Linked DNA regions of Neurospora crassa OR74A. The protein of the gene in region 1 interacts with the protein of each later gene in a biochemical or structural test. Links are inferred from orthologs where the notes say so. Each region holds a gene or a part of one and is shown in the gene's direction. Other genes may lie near its edges.

Evidence for each region.
Region 2: the proteins of NCU07734 (region 1) and NCU08989 form a complex in vitro, tested with the Saccharomyces cerevisiae proteins (2 studies listed by BioGRID, with this or other methods). The link is inferred for Neurospora crassa OR74A from reciprocal best matches to the Saccharomyces cerevisiae genes GCS1 and ARL1.

The regions. Positions count from the first base shown.
Region 1 is NC_026504.1:2,054,716-2,058,467, forward strand, and holds the start of NCU07734 (zinc finger protein gcs1), read left to right. Parts: upstream 1-1,579; 5' UTR 1,580-1,965; coding exon 1,966-2,013; intron 2,014-2,160; coding exon 2,161-2,925; intron 2,926-3,047; coding exon 3,048-3,407; 3' UTR 3,408-3,752. Other genes in the region: NCU07735 (Grp1p), read left to right, coding at 1-142, 199-531. UniProt on the Saccharomyces cerevisiae protein: GTPase-activating protein (GAP) for ARF1 and ARF2. Involved in intracellular vesicular transport. Required for transport from the trans-Golgi network.
Region 2 is NC_026503.1:4,145,107-4,148,389, reverse strand, and holds NCU08989 (ADP-ribosylation factor 1), read left to right. Parts: upstream 1-941; 5' UTR 942-1,480; coding exon 1,481-1,603; intron 1,604-1,673; coding exon 1,674-2,081; intron 2,082-2,149; coding exon 2,150-2,170; 3' UTR 2,171-2,681; downstream 2,682-3,283. Other genes in the region: NCU08990 (60S ribosomal protein L39), read right to left, coding at 129-177, 392-492, 711-716. UniProt on the Saccharomyces cerevisiae protein: Recruits golgins such as IMH1 to the Golgi. Can bind and hydrolyze GTP. May be involved in trafficking events within the endosomal system.

The DNA.
Region 1 (3,752 bases):
TCACAACAGCGACAACAAGGCCGGCAAGCCCCACAACCGCTCTCCCCGTGAGCGCCGCGAGCGCGGCCCCCCGGCTGACGGTATTCCTTCCAAGACCAAGGTCATGGTCGCCAACCTTCCCTACGACCTGACCGAGGAGAAGGTGAGTTTTTGTGCCGACCTATGCCATGACTGGAGACATGCTAACTCTTTCCACAGCTTAAGGAACTTTTCGCTGCTTACCAGCCTTCCTCCGCGAAGATTGCTCTTCGCCCCATCCCTCGCTTCATGATTAAGAAGCTTCAGGCCCGGGGTGAGCCCCGCAAGGGCCGTGGCTTCGGCTTCGTTACCCTCGCCTCGGAGGAGCTCCAGCAGAAGGCTGTCGCTGAGATGAACGGCAAGGAGATCGAGGGCCGCGAGATCGCTGTCAAGGTCGCCATCGATAGCCCCGACAAGACCGACGAGGAGGCCAACGAACCCGAGGGCGAGGCCCAGGCCCCCACCAACGGCACTACCGAGCAGGCTGGCGCTGCTGTCACTGCCTCTGCTTAAACACTCCATTTGATGACGAGATGAGTGTGCGCACAAGTTAATAAAGATTTCGGTCACAGACACTACTTTAATCTCGACCGACACATGTCTTATGTTTTACTGGGCGCATGCATTTTTACCCTCACGATTTTGGCACGGAACGAATGATTTTCTTTTTATGGCGGGATCTGCAAGTGGGTATGAAAGCGGGAAGATTGGGCGGTGGGATAATGTGATCATGTCTGGCGTCACGGGTTATGGGGGTTTGCAAAGGCCTCAAATCGCTGGTAGACTTCAGGCATCGTTATCCTGCGGCTCTTTGCAGGCAACAAAAATCTAATATTTTTCATGACTTGTCTTCTTCATTTATGTGTTATGGATCATCTTTTATCTCAGGGTCGCTTACATTCATCTAGTGTTTTCAAACTCTCATGTTTGCAGGAGATGGTCAGTCAAATCGGTCTAGGAATAGGAAAATAAGCATGATCGGGCCAAGAAGTCATTGATATGTCATGTTTAATTAATAGGAACGCCAACGGGTAAAGTGGTTTGTGATAGATACGTGTCCAGTCATCCTCAACATGGGAATCACCTAATTGTGAGGCGTAGAAGTAGTGTTGGAGGGAACTAATGGATCCACTGCCCGTGCCTTGCGTGCCTTGATGGGTGGTTGTGACAAAGTTGGGGACGGACAGTTGCAGATGTTCCTGCAGGCCAGAGAGGGGCAGCTCCCCGTTAACAAGCGGTCCCCTGAAACGCCCCTGATCTTTATTCGCAGTGCGTGACGAATGATGAGAAAAGGCCAGGTCTGGACCTTTGCATAAAACATGGTACCTACCTAGGTAGATATGAATGGTCGACATAACGGAAGGTAGGATCCTGAAGGTTGGATGGACGGACGAGCTGGCTTGTGTACACGCACCATGCACTGTGGCCTCGATGAATACTCTTATGGCTTGTGAATTTCAATTCGGTTAGGTTGTTGCTTGAATCACGTAACTGATCATATCTTAGCAAATCTAAAATGCAGTCCCAAACTCAAGTTGTAGTAATTCGTCGGGTAGATGGAACGTGACCTAATGATCAGCATGCCTCGATCTTCCAACACTTCGGGTCGGGTTTCCGTCCTGGCTGGTCGCTCCAGTGCCACTAAAACGAAGGAAGGTAGCCGTCCGAGGTAAACCAACTGCTGAAGCGTAGGGCAGGGGGTGCCTGCAATAGCGCGGGCGACTTCATCATTCAAGTCGCCAATTGTCTGTCTGACTGATTGTCCACCAGACAACCCCTACTGTAATCCGAAACATCACGCGACGCAACATAGCGCAAGGAATCCAAAGACGGCGAACTTCTTCTTCCAATTTGCTTCGACGAGACTCTGCTCTCAAGTAGGCCGTCCCAGCGAGGAATCACGTAACCGGTCGGTTCGCGCACAATTGCACGTACAAGTTGCCCACCATGGCTACCAAAGGGATGTGGGAGATAGACCCGGAGACGAAGTCCAAGGTATGTGACCGACCAACCCGCCCAAGGCGTCCAACCCGTTCAATCGCTGTCTTTGTGAGATTAGCTGCACGATCCAGAGGGGGAAAAGCGATGTGGCGGCGCAAAGGGCCAACTGGAACCTTCCAAGCTGACTTGTGACCCTTGTAGCTCGCTGCGATGCAGAAGGAGAACAACAACAACATCTGCTGCGACTGCGGTGCCCCAAGCCCGCAATGGTGTTCACCAAAGTTCGGCATCTTTATCTGCCTCTCGTGTGCGGGCGTTCATCGCGGCCTGGGCGTGCACATCTCCTTCGTGCGCTCGGTTTCCATGGACGCCTTCAAGCAGGCCGAAATTGAGCGCATGCGGCTCGGCGGCAATGACACCTGGCGCACCTTTTTCGAGAACCATTCCGACACCAAGTTGCGCGGAATCAGCTGGGACGATGCGACGATTGCGGAGCGGTACAGCGGCGATGTTGGCGAAGAATACAAGGAGAGGCTGAGTGCCAAGGTTGAGGGGAGGGAGTACGTGCCTGGGGAGAAGAAGCCACTGGCCCAGCAGCAGGAAACAAGTCAGAGTCCAAGCAGCGTGGCTGGTGGGGTGCCATTGAGCGGCACGAGCAGTAGGACGGCCAGCCCTAAGCCGGGAACGACGATCAAGGTGGACGACAAGTACTTTGCTAAACTGGGTGCTGCCAACGCCAGCAGACCGGACAATCTGCCGCCTAGCCAGGGAGGAAAGTATCAGGGCTTTGGGAACACAGTGTCGTCGCAGCCAAAGAATGATGGCGGCGCAAGCTTGCCGGGTCTCGATGAGTTGCAAAAGGATCCCGTGGCGGCGCTGAGTAAAGGGTTCGGATGGTTTACCAAGACAGTGACCCAGACGGCGAAGACGGTTAATGAGGGTTATATCCAGCCTACAGCTAAGCAGGTATGTATCCTTGGTCTCCGCTCAACAAACCATCCCTCTGTCGGACATTGGCCCAGGACACATCTACTTGGATCACTTCGAGATACATGTTTGCTAATTTGGACTTCTTCCGCCCAATATAGATAGCCGAATCAGAGCTCGCTGCAAAAGCCCGTGTTGCGGCAGCGCAAGCCGCCGTTTCAGCACAGACTGTAGCACAGGCTGGCGCCAAAACCGCGACAGAGAGTTTCAACCGGTTTGTCGAGGGAGGACCTTCCAACTCCGCTGGTGGTGGCTATAGGTCAGTTCCCTCTGGCGGTGGTGGCAGCAACTTTGACGAGAGCAAGAGGTCGTTTTGGGATGACTTCTCTAGCGCGGCCGACCAGAGAAAGCCAGCCGGTAGCTCAATCGGGACAGCAGTTATGGGCAAGGGTGGAAGCAGCGGTAGCTCCACTGCTCCTCCCCCAGCAGCTTCCAAGAAGGACGAGTGGGATGACTGGTAGATGGCTTGTTGACCCGTAGCGTCATTGGATGAATAGTGAGGTGGAATAGTGGTAATGGAATCATTTACAGCCTATGATTTTTGTCTTTTACTGTATTGTCATTTGGGCTGATCAAGGAGGTCAACGGTGTTGTGTTCAAGGTGAGACCGACTTGGGGTGTTGAGATGCAATGGTCAGGGTCAGGGTAGGGTAGGTAAACTAATCGATATTTTCGAATCGACTCCGGCGTCGGAGGATCCAGTGTACGGCGAGGTCCCGTCGCTGAGACCAGAGAGGTGTCTACAGAAATTGGTGAGGTCAAGTGATGGCTCATTGCTCTAAGCAGTATTAGACTTGATAACGATT
Region 2 (3,283 bases), on another chromosome or scaffold:
GAGAGAAGAAGGTTGCCGTCATAGGTCGCATTCCCAAGCTCCAGTTTTCGAAAAATGGAGGTGGATCAGAGCAACCAGGAAAAGAAGACCATCGTTGGGGGTGGAATATGGAAGAATCGTGAGAGCATTTAGAGGCCGAGACGGGTCTTGCGCCAGTGGCGACGCTTGGCGTTGTAGCTAGTTGTCTCTTGTTAGCATCCAGCGTCATGATGAAGCAGTCGCCATGCGTTCTTGAGTGCAGAAAGCTCGCGAGAGGGCATGTTGCGCCGGGTACAGCCGAGGCAGCTGGTTTGTTTTCCAGCTTCCCTCACCACCATCCCCGTCACTATCCATCCCTCTCCCTCTCCTCTGGCTGAACGCGACAGCAATGGGCGCTTATGGTGATATGTACCGGATGGTGTTGCCAGTGCGGAGGCGAATCCACTGGGGGATAGGCCTGTTCTGCTTCTGGGCCTTAGCAAGCTTCTGCTTGACACGGAAGGTCTTGTGGCTCTGTTTTCGCGATGCACCTCGTCAGCATAACTTGTCTTGCCGTCGTTCGAGCAGGTGAAGTCATGGACCCCTCCTCCATGCTTCAATCAATCGCTCTGCGATCATCATTTTGGGAATTCCGTGTCGCTGCCGTTTCTGGCATAGCAGGACGGCCAAAAATTCGACAGCAGAGCGATTCCGAGCATTCTCTATGCTCAACATGGTGGGACGTTACGTACCGGCATTTTGACGGTGTTGTCGAGTTACCGGTCGATTTGGCTGGTGTCGATGAGGTGGGTTAGAATATTTGGTGTGGGCTTTCAAAAACCAAGCAGAACACTAGGGCCCGAAAGTGCGCATGTGGCTGAGTCACGTGTGTGTCTGTGGCTCGTACTTGTGGCACAGGCTCATTCACTCTTGGAGTCCGCTCTCTGACCGGACAGAAGGTCCATTTGGGTCCAGAAGGGAGGCGCACGAGCCACGAGAAGCGGCTATCGGAGGTTTCCACGGTGCCGTCTCGCTGCCAATCGATTGCCGGGATGTTTGCAGTTGGGCTGGGCGCTTGGGGCGGCCTTGCCTCCCGGGACCCCTGAGTGCCGGCACGATCAAAGGAGCTCTTTGGCGGCATTGAGCGACGGCCTCTCTATGACAACGAGAGGAGCATCTTGAAGCAACCTAACCCAAAACACTTTTTTTTTTCGCAATACCACGGCGCAACAAACCCTCGCTTATCCTGTCTTCAACCGTGCGCACGGGAGCATCCGAAAGATACCAGCTGGGCTGACCGCGCTTCCGTTCGCTGCCTCCTCGATAATACACTACTCGCCGTCATCATTTCCATCGACTAGTACGGCCCGATCCGACACGTTAGAGCCCGATCTGTATCAAGGAATCGCCTTGCCTGGTCAAATCCTCTCCTCATCCGTCTAATTATCAACTGCCTCAATCATCACACTCCTACGAACTCAACGCGCTCTCAGTCTTCCGGGGCACTAGCCAACACGCAAAGATGGGTCAGAGCATGTCATGGCTGTCTAGCCTGTCCAACCTCTTTTGGACAAAGAAGGAGATCCGCATTCTGATATTGGGCCTCGATAATGCCGGAAAGACAACACTACTATACAGGCTCAAGGTAGGCCCACCTGTTGAAAAGCTGACGAACGGAAGCGCGCACAGTTCGGAGAGCTGACAACATGTTGTAGATTGGCGAGGTAGTAACCACGATACCAACAATCGGTTTCAACGTCGAATCAGTCACATACAAGAATCTCAACTTCAATGTGTGGGATCTGGGTGGTCAGACTAGCATCCGCCCGTACTGGAGGTGCTACTATGCGAACACGGCGGCGGTAATATTCGTTGTTGACTCGACCGATATGGAGCGATTGCAAACCGCGGCGGATGAGTTGGCCGCTATGTTGAATGAGGAAGAGCTGAAGGACGCTGCCCTTTTGGTGTTTGCCAACAAGCAAGATCAGCCAGGTGCAAAGGGGGCGGCAGATATCTCTCAGGCTCTCCGCCTGGGCGAGCTAAGGGACAGGAACTGGAGCATCATGGCCTGCAGTGCAGTGGAAGGGACAGGCATCACAGAGGGCATGGATTGGTTGGTGGTATGTTTAACCTCTTCTTTTGCTGCTCCCGGCCCGTTATTCTGTCTATGTGCTAACCAAGTGAGCAGCAAACCGTAAAAGAGGAGTAGTGGCCAAAGCAGGGAATGCGCAAACATCACCACCGGCTTTGAGATGACGAGGAGAATCTGTACAACAACAAATGACAACAACATCAACATTCGGGAATAGGTCGTACCGACGGAATTACATACCGGCACATGACTTGGGTATATCGGATACGTATGGCGGCGGCAGGCCGGGTTTCTCGGCGTTCTTGGGGGTTATGTCCCGTGGTGGTTGGTACCAGCGGATGCCTTGATGACAAACAAAACGACATAAGGGTTCAGAGATTTCTGCCTACATATATCAGCTTACGAGCTTTCTATAGCCTTCTTTTAATTAATGGACTGGCTCCGGCGACTATTCAACGTCGGATCGTCGGGTATTGAGACTTCAAGCACACAACAAAAAAGACGAAATTCGGACTCTTACAACATGTCTGCGCGTTGGGCAATATCCCGTTTCACACGACATATTCCCGACTCCGATATTACTTATATTCTCTTGCGCGGTGACTCTAAGCTTGGTCATCAGTTGACCTGGGTATTTGCGGCTCGAATTCCGAGTGAGCCCAGAATAGTGCTTCAGGCAAAGGTTCAAAGCCAAGTCCAAATTGAGCCAACAGTACACACCAGTGAGGTGATGCTCAGCCATCGTGCTCACAGTCTAGAATTTCCTCATTGCAAATTATAAACTCTTACAACGCGGGAGTGTACTTTCCGGTGGTCGTCCTTCATGCCACTTTTCAACATGCGATGACCAACTTATCTACGAGATCAGACCGGATCTAACTTTTCCTCAATGCCCATAGAGGTTTGCAATTTTTTTTTTTTTTTTTCCTTTTCTTTCTTACCCTTTGTCTTCTTCCTCCCGCTTATCTTCTCTTATGTCAATCGAAACATTTGGAGGGAATTCGGATATTCGTGATTCAGCCGGGAAGAGATTCTGCCCAATACATAGGGAAGCGATTTGAAGGTGGTTTCACTAGTTTCTTAGGCTTCGTTTGACCTATGCTGTTTATCTCAGTAACTCCGTCTTCACCATCTGGCAGCTGCCCCAACTACTTTCACTATATGCTCTCATGCGAGGCGGCGTTCGATCCGCTGATCAAACCTATGTTATGGAGGTTACTGTTGAACCAG